2 linked regions of the Anolis sagrei genome follow. The protein of the gene in region 1 purifies or fractionates together with the protein of each later gene. This does not show direct contact. Links are inferred from orthologs where the notes say so. Each region holds a gene or a part of one and is shown on either strand. Other genes may lie near its edges.

Evidence for each region.
Region 2: the proteins of RPAP2 (region 1) and PDRG1 purify together in Homo sapiens (affinity purification with mass spectrometry; 3 studies listed by BioGRID and IntAct, with this or other methods). This does not show direct contact. The link is inferred for Anolis sagrei from reciprocal best matches to the Homo sapiens genes RPAP2 and PDRG1.

What each region holds. Positions count from the first base shown.
Region 1 is NC_090024.1:150,132,316-150,139,780, reverse strand, and holds the start of RPAP2 (putative RNA polymerase II subunit B1 CTD phosphatase RPAP2), read left to right. Parts: upstream 1-4,462; 5' UTR 4,463-4,497; coding exon 4,498-4,555; intron 4,556-4,900; coding exon 4,901-4,946; intron 4,947-5,418; coding exon 5,419-5,533; intron 5,534-6,509; coding exon 6,510-6,608; intron 6,609-7,465. Other genes in the region: GLMN (glomulin), read right to left, coding at 22-60.
Region 2 is NC_090024.1:242,559,321-242,567,342, reverse strand, and holds the start of PDRG1 (p53 and DNA damage-regulated protein 1), read left to right. Parts: upstream 1-4,949; 5' UTR 4,950-5,099; coding exon 5,100-5,186; intron 5,187-8,022. UniProt on the Homo sapiens protein: May play a role in chaperone-mediated protein folding.

The DNA of each region.
Region 1 (7,465 bases):
ACAATTTAACATGTTACTTACACATCTATGTATGATGGCTCGAAGTTCTTCTTCTGCCATTTTTTGTTAATCCGCAAGAGCCCTATTACAATTTTTTAAAATAGAATTGAATGAGATACACTTTAAATATATTGCAAAACTGGCAGAACCTTTTTTTTAAATCATTAAGATATCTTATAAGAACAAAGCATGAAAAGGGTATTTAGTAAAGTTAGGAATCAATCAGGTCAAGAAACTGCAGCCCTTTGAATTATTTTGGACTTCACCTCCCACCAACCTTAACAACACAGCTAATGGTGAAGGATGCTTGAAGCCTCACTCAGCTGTATCTTGAAGATTACGCTTCACTCTACAAGAGATGGTGAGAAGGAAACCTCTTAAAATCAAATTTGAAATCTTCCAGTCCATGAACTTATACACTACACAATGTGTATCTGTACTATGAAATATATTGTGAAGAATTTCCTAGAATAGGGATTAGATCGTTTTAATAACAGATTATATTATCTGTGCCAAAACCTTTAGGTACCAAAAGGGAACTGCAAAAATCCTAAATGACAAAATATTATTGAATTATAATACAACAGAAAGTGGGACTCAACAAGATACTCTAAACGTGTTGCATTGCCATTTACCAGAATGTTTTAAAGGGCAACCCTAGTTTAATGAGAATTAAAAAGGACACCTTCTGATTAAGTATAGTTAAGAGCTTTACAGCTGGCCATTAAGCATATTATAGGAAGCAGTTCTGCTGAGGGGCAATAAAGTGCTCTGAAATACTCTGACTTTTAAAAGCCAGGATGTATACATAAACTTTCTATTAATTTATTTTTTTAATATTTTTTTTATTTTAGGACATACACAACATTTACAATTCCCACCACCATGAAGATTGTTTTCTTTTACATATTAATCCTTTTGGAGATTTTTTATTTTCTTATTCTCATCCCATTCAAGAAAGAAGTAAAGTTACAGCCAAGTAAGAGCAGGCAAAGAGGAAGCGAAGCAAAGAGCACATTGTAGTATTTGGAAGCTATCTGCTTTGTGGGGCCAGAAAAAGTCTCTAGCAAGTGGTCTTTAACGTGCAAAACAGGGGAAAGGGAGTTGAACAGGACATTAAAGGAATCTGGCAGCACCTGTAAGATACATTTCTAGTTTATAACTTTCTTTTTTGTGTAGACATTGACCCACAAAAACGGATGCTAAAATAAAAACTAATCTTAAAAAGTGTGGCTAGATTTCCCCCAACCCTTTCCCTCGCTTTTCTTCTTGTTATGCTACAACAGGCTAACATAACCCCTTCTTTAAAAATTATTTTAATTGTCAATTAACAATATCATACGAAAACTGACTGGCACAAGCTGGGGATCACAACCAGACACAGTGAAGACATCTCCCCTTGCGCTATGCTACTCTGCTGCTGAGTATGCATGCCCAGTGTGGAACACATCTCACCACACTAAAACAGTGGATGTGGCTCTTAATGAGACATGCCGCATTATCACAGGGTGTCTGCGCCCTACACCACTGGAAAAATTACACTGTCTAGCCGGTATCGCACCACCTGACATCCGCCGGGAAGTAGCAACCAATAGTGAAAGGACCAATCCTTTGTTTGGGTATCAGTCAGCATGTCAACGACTTAAATCAAGAAATAGTTTTCTAAGATCTACAGAGACACTCGCTGGAACATCTCAGCAAGTGAGAGTCCAAAAGTGGCAGGCTCCAACCCAGAACCTCAATCAATGGCAGATACCAAATGAGAGACTCCCCCCTGGGCACACAGAAAACTGGGCAACATGGAAAGCATTGAACAGACTGCGCTCTGGCACCACGAGATTCAGAGCCAACCTTAAGAAATGGGGCTACAAAGTGGAATCCACGGCATGCGAGTGTGGAGAAGAGCAAACCACTGACCACCTGCTGCAATGCAACCTGAGCCCCGCCACAAGCACAATGGAGGACCTCCTTGCGGTAACACCAGAGGCACTCCAAATGGCCAGATACTGGTCAAAGGACATTTAATCAACTACCAAGCTTGCAAACTTTCTGTTTTGTCTGCTTGTTTTGTTAAAAATGTAATACAAATGTCTGGTTGCTCCTGACACAATAAATAACATTTTAATTGTTTCCTTAAAGGAAGACCATTTATGTAGCTAGAAGGAGATTGAAAAAGTGTTCAAATCTACCAGAGACCATACAACATTGGTCCTCAACCTGTGGGTCCTCAGGTGTTTTGGCGTACAACTCCCAGAAATCCCAGTTTACCAGCTGTTAGGAGGCAAAAACATCTGGGACCCACAGGTTGAGAACCACTGCCATACAACATAGATAAAAAGTACTCTGCACATGCTCAAGGGCAATTACTCTTTAACTATAAAAAGTATACACCCTTAACCGCTTATAACAGAGGGGGAGGGTGCATTAAAATGTGTACAGTCCCCAAGTTACAAACAAGATAGGTTCTGCAGGTTTGTTCTTAAGTTGAATTTGTATGTAAGTCAGAACAGGTACATTTTATTAAGTGCAACTCCAGAGATATATATATCTATCTACCTATCTTTGGTTAGCATAGGGAAAGGTTGACACGCCCATGGTGTTTCTTTTGCTGTCTGTTCCCCTGTTCAGAAGATTTCACAGCACTTTCTGTCCCTGTGAGAATTGGATTGTGAAAAATATGACTTGTTGTGGAAACAAGGACTGGTGATAAAGCTTCAGGGGAGACACGTTTTCCCCATGCTAACTCTTCCAGGAGTGAATTTCCCTTCCTAGGAGTAGATTTCTCTCACTTCCTGTTGTCTCACCCCCATTCTTAACTAGGAGTCGTCTATAAGTCAGATGTTTGTAACTCGGGGACTGCCAGTACATCCTTAACAAGATCAAAGATTCCAATGTGGTGCACAATTAGTAGTGAAACCTCAAATGAAATGTGCAACTCTATGCTTTGACCATGGGGTCATTGCATGGCTGCGCTCGCACATGAATTTGAACTCCTTCTATGGTTTCAGCATTGGAGTATGACTCTGAGACCGGGGTTCGTATTCCCACTCAGCCATAGAAACCCTCTGGGTAACCTTGGGCAAGTCATGCTCTCTCAGCCTCAGAAGACCAAGGCAAATAACTTCTGAACAAACCTTCCTGTACAAACCCAGTGAATGGTTCTCCATAGGTCTGAAACGAATTGGGAGGCACACAAGGAACAAGTAAACGTACTCTAAAATGGAATCTATAACTTTAGCTAATTAGTATAACATTTCATCTTCAATATAAACATATATATTTAACATCCAAATAATCTCCATAAAGGTAAAGGTTTCCGTTATAGTCTATAATCTCCATAGCTATTATTAGCTGTTAAAAGTGTGTACATTGGGGGGGGGGGGGGACTATACATCCCAGGTGCTTCTACACTATATAATTAATGCAGTTTGATACCTCTGTAACTGCCCTGGCTCAATGCTATGGAAACCTGGGAGTTGTAGTTTCACAAGGCCTTTAGCCTTCCCTGCAAAAATGAATCCTATGAGTTGTAGTTTCGCAAAGCCTTTGGCCTTCCCTGCTAAATGAATCCTGGGAGTTATAGTTTCACAAGGCCTTTAGCCTTCCCTGCCAAAGGAATCCTATGAGTTATAGTTTCACAAGGCCTTTGGCCTTCCCTGCTAAATGAATCCTATGAGTTATAGTTTCACAAGGCCTTTAGCCTTCCCTGTCAAAGGAATCCTGGGAGTTATAGTTGCACAAGGCCTTTGGTATTCCCTGCTAAATGAATCCTGGGAGTTATAGTTTCACAAGGCCTTTAGCCTTCCCTGCCAAAGGAATCCTAGGAGTTATAGTTGCACAAGGCCTTTGGCTTTCCCTGCTAAATGAATCCTGGGAGTTATAGTTTCACAAGGCCTTTGGCCGTCCCTGCCAAATGAATCCTAGGAATTGTAGTTTCACAAGGCCTTTAGACTTCCCTGTCAAAGGAATCATAGGAGTTGTAGTTTCACAAGGCCTTTAGCATTCCCTGCCAAAGAAATCCTGGGAATTGTAGTTTCACAAGGCCTTAGGCCTTTCCTGTCAATGGAATCCTGAGAGTTGTAGTTTCACAGGGTCTTTATTTTTCCCTCCAAACTACAACTCCCAGGCTCCCATAGCATTTCAGAGAAGGGAGACTCCCCTTGCACCAGCCTTGGAAGTGAAAGAAGGCTGCAACTCCTTTCCAGGCTTCACTTGGGAGCCTCTCTGAACCCTAGAAACGAAAGACAAAGAGTGAATCCCTCCTAAACTACTATGCCTTAGACCTGGGCTGTCCCTCCTCCCTGGCGCCCTCCCGCCTGTGACCCCAACCTGCAGCAAGACTCCCTCCTCTTACCTCCGCCTTCCCTCTTTCCAAAGAGACCGGTCTACCAGCACGGCCTCATGACTATTCTCAGGCCACGCCCCTTTGGGAGAAGCCACGCCCCTTTCCCAAACAACGCAGGCGCAGTGAGGGGTTAGAGGTCTTTCCCGGCAGCGATGGCGGAAGAGAGGACCCGCAGCGGCTCCAAGGCCAGGAGGCAGCGCCGGCGCCCGGGTAAACGCAGCTGTTTGTATCTATCCCCCCCCCTTTTCATCACATGGACTGTTCCTTCTCCCTTCCTCAATATGTGGAGGCGAAACCAATCCTATCTTCCAAGGGGGTGGCTTTCTAGGGATGGGAGATGCTCTATAGCTGTGATTATTCCTATACTACTGTAGGAATAATATAGTTGAACTGCCAGGGCTCAGTGCTATGGAATCGTGGGAGTTGTAGTTTTATAAGGGCAAGTTTCTCCCTAAGCAAACAGCGGGTTCCCACTCTGTTCCTACAAAAGCTTGAATTGATCATGTGATTTCATGTGGTTTGTCATCTCCCTGTATTTTTGGTTGTTCCTCTTAGGTAATAAACAGCCCAGTGTCCTGACAAATGAAGATGCTGCACAAAGGTATCCTGTCTCTCAGAATAACTGTTTGGTTGCATTATGTGTTTATATCTATTTTGTAAATCCTTCAAAAGGTTTATGAATCAACTAGCTGTCCCCTGCCACACATTGCTGTGGCCAAATCTGTGTATTTGTGTTTTGTGTGTGTGTATTTGGGTATCTATATATATGTGTGTGTGGTTTTGCGCATGCATTGTAATGTATTTCTTTTTATTTGAGGGCTTTTAGATGTTTCTCATGACTTTCTGATATTCCCTTCTCTTTGAGACACATATTCTGCCCTGTTTAACCTATTAAAGACTGGCAGGTCTTTAGTCCAGCTGGCACAGTTTGAAATGAAAAGTGGGTGCCATTGTGTTCTTTGCTTCAGGCATCAAATGTTTTGCGCTGGATCTGTTCGTACCCACTTGTTTCTTAAGCAACTTCATATGAATTGCCAAAATGTGGGTCACACCACTATTTTTTCCCCTTGTAGGAAAGCAGCACTTGAAGCTGCTATTCGAAAGAAGATTGCGCATGAGCGAAAAGCCTTGAAGGTGGTTGAACGCCTCTTAGAAGACGATATCACTGAAGAATTCCTCACAAATTGTGTATGTCGTCTTGTTGCAGATTTATATAAAATATTTAGTTTAAATGTGTCAAGGTCTCCTATAGCTTGTTATGCAGTTAATGGTTCCTTTCCAAAGATAGTTTATCAATCTTTGGAGAGGCACCATAGATGTGTGTTAGCTTGGCAGTCTATGGCCCCTTCTACACTGCCATATAAAATCCAGATTATCTGATTTGAACTGGATTATCTGGCAGTGTAGATTCATGTAATCCAGTTCAAAGCAGATAATGTGAATTATCTGGGAATCATATAACCCTCTCAATCACTGCTTCTTAAACTGGGGTCTCCAAACTAGGTCCCCATAGCTCAATGTGGGGGTCCTGAAAAAATTGGCAAATGTAAACATTTTCTGAATGTCACCTAGTTGCTGTTTTAGACATGTACATGAATCTGTTGTGCAGCATTTACAGCAGACTCTGCAAAAGGAAATGTTTGATTTTTATACCAGTTTTATCTACCCAGGGCTGTGTAAAACTGTATTGGGCCAAAAGGTGTCACAAGTGGAAAAGTTTAAGAAGTCCTCTTCTCAATGACCTTGGGCTGCTGTTGTCAGCATTTCCCACTATTGTCTAGGCTGGTTCGTGCTTCTAAAAGTTTAATTCACAGCATTTGGAGGACTGCAAGGTTTCCCATTTCCTATAGGACATATTCCAAAGGGAGACTCAGCGTGAGGTAGAGGCTTGAGCATTGACTAAAACAACTGTAGTCCAAGGTTTGTAAATTAGAGATGTGTGAAACAGGAGAAATCTGTTCTGTTTTTGTTTCCAATTTTGAGTCCGTCCACCCATTCTGTTTTCATGAAGATTCTTCCCAAAACAGAAATTGAACTTGTTTTGTCGAACCCAAATGACTCCCCTCCTAATCTTCCTTTCTACTGTTTTACACACCGCTTCTTTGTATCCCTGCTCATCCATGAAAACCCACATTTCAAGGCAAATCTGTTTATTTCTTTTCAGGGGAAGTTCATTACACCTTCTCACTATAAAGATGTTGTGGAAGAGCGGTTTATCGTCAAACTGTGTGGCTACCCCATCTGTCGAAATAGGCTGCAGAATGTAAGAGTCTGTGAGTGGTGTATGTGTTGGTTCTTTTTCTGTAATTTTTTGAAATTTAAAATGCATTTCTTCCTGAAAATTATCCAGTACTTGCTTTTTTCGCCCATTTTCATTATCTTCCTGTGTTACAAATTCAAAACTGATTTAAAATGTCTACAGGGTTGCTTTGTGAGTAAGGATGTGAGCCTGGATATCCGCAGTTTTGAATCTGATAGTATATGCCAGTGGTTCTCAACCTGTGGGTCCTCAGATGTTTTGGCCTACAACTCCCAGTAATCCCAGCCAGTTTACCAGCTGTTAGGATTTCTGGAAGTTGAAAGCCAAAACATCTGGGAACCCACAGGTTGAGAACCACTGGTATATACTATATTGGCCCCCGGCATGGGTTAAAACTATGTAGTGTTCTTGCCACCTCTTTGTCCTGCCTCTGCTTTCATCCAATGTGATCAAGGAGAGGAAATCAAGCTCTGCATAATTTAGTTCTCTCTCTAACCTGGAAAAATTGTGTTAAATCTTAACTGTGGTTTACTGAAATTAGCAAACATCAGATTTAGGATTAAGAAGATAGTTTCAACAAATCATTGCTCAGATTAAACATTGTAGGTTTTGTGCACTATGGCAAACTTTAGAAAATGAGATTAAGCTTTCCTTTCTCCTTGCAGCCAAGCTAGGAGGAGAGGGAGAGTTTGGCACCAAAGAAGCCAATATTCTGGCACATAATAATTAACAGTAATATATTGTTACAGGCATACTGGTCCATCGGCTCTCATCGTACATAATAACACACTGTAATGTTTTGCTACATGTTTGCTGGTCCATTGGCTCTCCTTATCCATAATAATACACTGTAATGTATT
Region 2 (8,022 bases), about 92 Mb from region 1:
ACCGGTCTATTTTTAATCTCCCCTTTTTGGGCAAGGTTCTGGAGCAAGTGGTGGCTTTTCAGCTCCAGGGATTCTTGGATTAAGCCAGTTATCTTAATTTCTCACAGTCTGGTTTTAGGCCTGGTCACATAATGAGATAGCTTTGGTCACCTAGGTGGATGACCTTCACAGAGAGCTAGGCAAGGAGACTGTGTCCTTGTTGGTTTTCTTGGACATCTCAGTGGCTTTTGATACCATCAACCATGATATCCTTCTAGGTCAGCTCTCCGAAATGGATCTTGGGGCCATTGCTCTGTAAGGGCTCTGCTCCTTCCTGAAGAATTGCTGGGGAGCTCCTGCTCGGACCCCTGGCCATTGACCTGTGGGGTCTCACAAGTTTCTATTCTATCCCCCATGCTTTTCGATATCTACATGAAGACGCTGGGTGAGGTTGTTATAGAGCTAAAATTTAGGGGTCTTTGCCAGGAGGCAGAGACCAATTAGACTCATCAAAGAGTTCTTTTTCCCTGGCGAGACAGAGAAGCATCCCATATTTTTCCCTGATTTCCCAATGAAAAGTCTCACCAGTTGAAGAAAAGCCATCGAGGTTTAATGCGATTCAGCTGGAACAGATGCAAAGCTGCAATCATTCGCCAAAGCTAAGCATGAGGGGAGTACACCAATACAGTCATATTTATAGCAAATTCAAAGTTGCAGAGTTCAAACTCCCCGCCCCGGCTTCCCTATTGTTCCCCAACGTGACTGGCCAATGGGCGAACAGCTGGGAGGCGGCTCTCCCACCTCCGGCGCCTCTGGACCAATCAGGAAGCTCAAGTGGTCCGTAGGATCCAATGGGGAGACCTCTTTTCAATTCTGGCTTTGATGGCATTGGTTCTAATGGCTTGTTCTTGGGCTGCCAGAATCAGGCCCTCCTTTGTCTCCTTTTTCAGAGTTCTATTTGTGAGCCACAGCCATGTTTTTTCTTTGTCAATTTGGCTCTCAATTTTTCCCAGGAACTGTCCATGGAGAGCCTTCTTTTACCAGTTTTCTCTTCTGCTCTGGATTGTGTTTTTACAGTATTCCCTCTTTGTCTTTTGCACTTTAAGCAGTTTACTCTATTGACTTCCCTCAATGTTGGTTCTTGACTGCCTTTCATATAATCTGCCAGGGCGTGTTTCTCTTCTTCTACTGTTTGTTTCAGAAGAGAAACACGCACTGGCAGATTATGTGAAAGGCAGTCAAGAACCAACATTGAGGGAAGTCAATTGAGGGGAGTTATTGAGGGAAGGTATTATTATTATTATTATTATTAGAGTTCTCATCCTGGGATCTTTAGAAACCATACATTTTAGGATGGGAGCAGAGGCATCTTCCCTCCAGTTAATACACGATCACAAACACATGCGCACAAACATGGAAAGTGCCACATATCATATTGCAGAACACAGCCTGGCGCTCCATATGTTAGGGAGAGATTCATTTTCAACCACTGATAGCAGATGGTAAGGCAGCCCTGTTTCCCCAGCATATCTAACCTAAAGAACAAACACCTTTCTTGGCTGATAAATCTGCTAAAGCTGTACAGGGGATGTATAAATTGTTGTTAAAATACAAAATTGAGGAAGAAGAAGTGAAAGACTGTATGGTTAAATGGATTCATAATACAGATTCAGCTGGAGCAATGGGCGATGGCCAGGACAAAGAATTTGAAACTTACTTTTGAAGTTGAAATTTGGAGAGCTAAGGATCACGGACACTGAGAGTCCATGCCCGGTGAGCTCAGCTAATTGCCAAAGTTCCCGATGAAATATGGCTCACCAGTGCTGAAGATCAGGAGAGGCTTTAATATACAATCTGCAGAAGGGATGCAATGTACAGCAAAGGATGCCAAAATATACAAGCATAAACATATGGGAATGTGCAACCATTTTATACAGAAAAGGATCCATGCATTAACACTGTCAAGGTTTGAATTTTCCCTTCCTTGCCTTGGATTGGCTGAGCGCCAAAGCTGGCTGCCTCCCTCCTCCCTCCTGATTGGCCAGGAGGCGGGGCTGGACTGGCTTGTTCTCTGATTGGTGTAGACCTTGGGATTCCCAGGTGTGCAAGTCCATAATGGTCGGGCCAAACCCAAGTCCACAGGGCACAGAGTGTTGCAATTCAGAGTAAGCTTTGCCTTGCTTCCAAACACCACCACACAAAAGCTGTAGTTTTATAGTTTGCTGAGGAAAAAGTCCAAGTCAAAATAAAGAATAAGCATTGCAAAGTTCCAAAGAGTTTGGTTAAATGCAGAATATAGTTCCAAAGATCTTCAGGTAAAAACAAGAGGCACAATCCTTTAGGCAAAGTTCAAAACAGAGTCCATGGTACAAACAGTGAAACAATTGCCCCAACAACACAAGGAGTGACTATCACTCAAAAAATATGATTTTGTCATTTGAGAGTTGTAATTGCTGGGATTTATAGGTCACCTATAATCAAAGAGCATTCTGGACTCCACCAACGATGGAATTGAACCACACTTGGCATACAGGAATCCCTTGACCATCAGAAAATATTGGAAGGGTTGTTGTAGGTTTTTCCGGGCTATATGGCCATGTTCTGGAGGAAATTTTTCTCCTGACGTTTCACTTGCATCTATGGCAAGCATCCTCAGAGGTAATGAGGTCTGTTGGAACTGGGAAAAATGGGTTTATATATCTGTGGAATGACCAGGGTGGGACAAAGGACTTTTGTTTGCTGGGGCTAGCTGTGAATGTTTCAGCTGATCACCTTGATTAGCATTCAATGGCTTGGAAGCGCCTGGGGGGAATCCTTTGTTGAGAGTGATTTCATGTGCCTGTTTGTTTCCCCTCTGTTGTTTTGCTGCTGTAATTTTAGAGTTTTTTTAATAATGGTAGCCAGATTTTGTTCATCTTCACGGTTTCCTCCTTTCTGTTGAAATTGTCCACATGCTTGTGTATTTCAATGGCTTCTCTGTGTAGTCTGACATGGTGGTTGTGAGAGTGGTCCAGCATTTCTGTGTTCTCAAATAAAATGCTGTGTCCAGGTTGGTTCATCAGGTGCTCTGCTATGGCTGATTTCTCTGGTTGGAGTAGTTTGCAGTGCCTTTCATGTTCCTTGATCCGTGTTTGGGTGCTGCATTGGGTGGTCCCTCTGTAGACTTGTCCACAGCTGCATGGTATACGGTAGACTCCTGCAGAGGTGAGAGGATCCCTCTTGTCCTTTGCTGAACGGAGCATTTGTTGGATTTTCTTGGTGGGTCTGTAGATAGTTTGTATGTTGTGCTTCCTCATCAGTTTCCCTATGCGGTCAGTGGTTCCCTTGATGTATAGCAGGAACACTTTTCCTCTGGGTGGGTCTTCATCTTTACTCTCGTGGCTTGTTCTTGGTCTTGCAGCTCTTCCGATGTCTAAGGTGGAGTCTCCATTGGCCTGGAGAACCCAGTTGAGGTGGTTCAGTTCATCTTGGAGAAGGTGGGCTTCGCAGATTCTTTTTGCACGGTCTGCCAAGGCTTTAATGGTGCTTCTTTTTTGACTTGGGTGATGGCTGGAGTTTTTGTGTAGATATCTATCCGTGTGTGTGGGTTTTCTGTAGACGGTGTGACCCAATTGTTGATCTGGTTTGCGGATGACTAGGACATCTAGAAAAGGCAGTCTTCCTTCATTTTTTTTCCATGGTGAACTGGATTTTTGGGTGGATGCTGTTAAGATGGTCCAGGAACCTGTTGAGTTCTTCATCTCCATGGCTCCAAATGGTGAAGGTGTCATCCACATATCTGAACCATATCGTGGGCTTTTTGGTTGCTGTCTCCAGGGCTTGTTTTTCAAAGTGTTCCATGTAGAAGTTAGCTATGACCGGGCTGAGAGGGCTCCCCATAGCTACTCCATCTTTCTGTTCGTAGAATTTATTGTCCCACTGAAAGTAACTGGTGGTGAGGCAATGGTGAAACAGAGCCGTGATGTCTTCTGGGAACCTCTGGTTGATGAGTGCCATGGTGTCTGCGACTGGGACCATGGTGAATAGAGATACCACATCGAAGCTGATCAGTTTGTCGTTTGTATTTAGCTTGAGATTGCTGATTTTTTCTATGAAGTGGGCTGAGTCCTTGATGTAGTGTGTGGTGAGCCCAATATAGCTTTGTAACTGTGCAGCAAGAAATTTTGCTAGGTCGTATGTGGGGGATCCAATGGCACTCACGATGGGTCTGAGTGGGGTGGAGTCCTTGTGGATTTTTGGGATTTTTGGGAGTCCATAAAGCCTAGGTGGAAGGGTTCAGCTGAAACATTCACAGCTAGCTCCAGCAGACAAGAGTCCTTTGTCTCACCCTGGTCATTCCACAGATATATAAACCCATTTTCCTACTTCCAACAGACCTCACTACCTCTGAGGATGCTTGCCACAGATGCAGGCGAAACGTCAGGAGAAATATTGCCTCCAGAACATGGCCATATACCCCGAAAAAACCCACAAGAACCTAGAACATTACATTTTTATTTATATCGATAATCGCATTATTACAATACTTTATGATTATTTTATTTGTATTATATTAGAAAATATTATCATAAAATACATACAGATCACAATACACAGTACCAAGATTAAAATGCAATGAAACAGAATGTAAATGTAATATATAACAACTGAAGCAAGAATACTCTATGCACAAAGATGGAAGGAACCATTTACCCAAAGCCTGAAGGATTCAGAGGAGGCGGGGCCTAGCTAGTTGCCGTGGCAACCTCCCACCCTAGTGAGATCTGAAGGCTTCAAAAGAAGGCGAGGCCTAGTAAGGCCTGAAGGCTTGAAGAGAAGGCGGGACTTAGTCAGTTGCCGTGGCAACCGCTCGCCCAGCCAATTCCCAAGCTCGGGCCTACTCTGTTGCCGTGGCAACCCCCCTTCCTAGTGAGTCCTTGAAGGCGGGGCCTAGCGAGACTTGAGGCTTTCAAGAGAAGTGGGGGTGGGGCTTAGTCAGTTGCCGTGGCAACCCCCTTCCCAGCCAATTACCAGCTTCGGGCCTACTCCGTTGCCGTGGCAACCTCCCGCCCTCGGCTTGCGTGACGCCTGCGCCGACTAGGCCTCGCCTCCGATTTCTTCCCGTTCCCGTTCCGGACGCGATGGGCGCCGTGGACCCTGCCTTCGTGGTGGGCTACTTGGCGGAGGTGGAAACCCTGGCCGAGGAGGTGATGGCCGGCCGGCAGCAGGTAGGCCCCAAACTGAGGCCTACTTCTCCCAAGTAGGCCCATGCCTGCCTTAGAAGGAGAGCAGGCATGGGCCAACTTGGGCCTTCCCTCCAGGCGTTTTGGACTTCAACTCCCACAATCCCTAACAGCCGGTTGTCTGTTAGGAATTGTGGGAGTTGAAGTCCAAAACGCCTGGAGGGAAGGCCCAAGTTGGCCCATGCCTGAGACTATCGAACAGCTGTAGGTTTGAAATATTCTGTGATTATTCCACTTCTTTATATATGTGTCCAGAGAAAGGCGACTCAAATGATCAAGGATCTGGAGAACAAACCCTATGAGGAGCGGCTTAAAGAGCTGGGCATGTTTAGCCTTCAAAAAAGAAGGCTGAGAGGAATTCATGATGAGGACCATCGATCAAGATGTGAGGGGAAGTCATAGGGAGGAGAGAGCAAGATTGTTTTTTTATTATTATTATTATTCACTTTATTTATACCCCGCTAACATTTCCCGAAGGACTCGGTGCAGCTTACGAGAAGCCAAGGCCAACACATCAATAAAACAACAGCATAACAAATACAACAATAAGTAAACTCATAAAGCAAATCAGTAACATTAGAATCATAGAGTTGGAAGAGACCTCATGGGCCATCCAGTCCAACCCCATTCTGCCAAGAAGCAGGAATATTGCATTCAAATCACTCCTGACAGATGGACATCCAGCCCCTGTTTAAAAGCTTCCAAAGAAGGAGCCTTCACCACACTCCAGGGCAGAGAGTTCCACTGCTGAACGGCTCTCACAGTCAGGAAGTTCTTCCTCATGTTCAGATGGAATCTCCTTTCTTGTAGTTTGAAGCCATTGTTCCCTTGCGTCCTAGTCTTCAGGGAAGCAGAAAGGAAGGTTGCTCCTTCCTACCTAAGACTTCCTCTCACATATTTATACATAGCCCTCATCCTGTCTCCTCTCAGCCTTCTCTTCTTCAGGCTAAACATGCCCAGCTCCTTAAGCCGCTCCTCATAGGGCTTGTTCGCCAGACCTTTTATCATTTTAGTCGCCCTCCTCTGGACACATTCCAGCTTGTCAATATCTCTCTTGAATTGTGGTGCCCACGATTGGACACAACATTCCAGGTGTGGTCTAACCAGAGCGGAATAGAGCATGGGGAGCATGACTTCCCTGGACCTAGACACTAGGCTCCTCTTGATGCAGGCTCTTGCATCTCCAGCAGACAAGAGTCCTTTGTCTCACCCTGGTCATTCCACAGATATAAAGCCTTTTTCCTAGTTCCAACAGACCTCACTACCTCTGAGGATGCTTGCCATAGATGCAGGCGAAACGTCAGGAGAGAATGCCTCTAGAACATGGCCATACAGCCCGAAAAAACCTACAACAACCCAGTGATTCCAGCCATGAAAGCCTTCGACAATACTCTGAATTTATTGTTTTTAAATGTTTTCATTGTTTTAATATACTTTTAAATTCTATTTCAACATTTATTTAAGTGTACGTTGCATATTAAGACATCGAATTGTTGCCTGTATGTAAAACTGCCTTGATTTCCCTCCAGGATGAGAAAGGTGGGGTAGCAATGTCATAAATAAATAAATAAATAATAGGTAGAAGCATCCTTTTCTTCATTCTGTACTCCTTCCAGCTTCCCTCCCTCTGTCTCCCTCTCTCTCTTCATGAAGACAAACAAAACGGGAATAAAAACCACACAAAATCAACTGACTCAAAAGTTCCTCAAAGCGGACAAGAGCAAAGCAGACAGCAATCTCCCAAAGTGGACAAGAGCACAAGTCAGGAGGGCTGCTCCCTTGAAGCCCTAAGACCCGTCGCAAACTAGGCTCCTGCGGGAGCAAACCTTGCCAGCATGTCCCTGATGTCATGAGACTGCGCCTCTCTCTCCACCTCTTTCTCAGCCTCTTTCTCCGTGCCAGAGTGGTTTTTCCTTTGCTAGGGCAGCATTGCCAGCATACTCTCTCAGTTGAATTCTGCCAACTGAGAGAGTACGCTGGCAATGCTGCCCTAGCAAAAGAGAAACCACTCTGGCACGGAGAAAGAGGCTGAGAAAGGGGCGGGGCGAGAGGCGCAGCCTCATGACGTCAGGGACGTGCTGGCAAGGTTTGCTCCCGCAGGAGCCTAGTTTGCGGCGGCGGCTGTAAAGCCCTGTACTCTGGTGCTAGCGCCCCCTCTGGCACTAGCTCTTAACTCAAAATGCTGCTCTTATGTCAAAGCAAAACCAGGCCAGGGGAATAGCTCTTAACTTAAAACACTCTTAAGTTGGGACACTCTTAAGTTGAGGTTCCACTGTATATAAAATTAAAACTGCTACATCTAATAAACTAGATCCAAGACGATCATCCTAACATAAAACGCTTCAAATAATAAAAACATACTAGATAGACAACTATTGAATCTTGCACTCTTTGTCTGTTGATTTTCACTCCTTGTTATCCTATTCCCTTTAGATAGCACTGTATATCCACACTTCTACTTTTAAGAACACTCCTCTAATTCATAAACCCAGTCGTTGATGTTTGCTCCCATCTTCCTTAAGGTTCATAAAAGATTTCTGCTTAATCCAAAGAGAATAGTTTCATTAAATCGGTAAAAATCAACCCTGAAAATGTGGAGGGCTGACTGCTCCATTTGGCTTTTAGGGAGAATTCAGTCCTGATTTGTGTTATTTGCCTTTTTGGCAGTCCGCAATATCTGCAGAACTCTTTTCATTGCTACCATAAAAAAGGCGACAATCCCATAGCAAAAGGACTTGGACATTTGTCTGGATTGCAGAAGGGCATAGACCAGTGTTTCTCAACCTGGGGGTTGTGAGGGAGTGTCAGAGGGGTTGCCAAA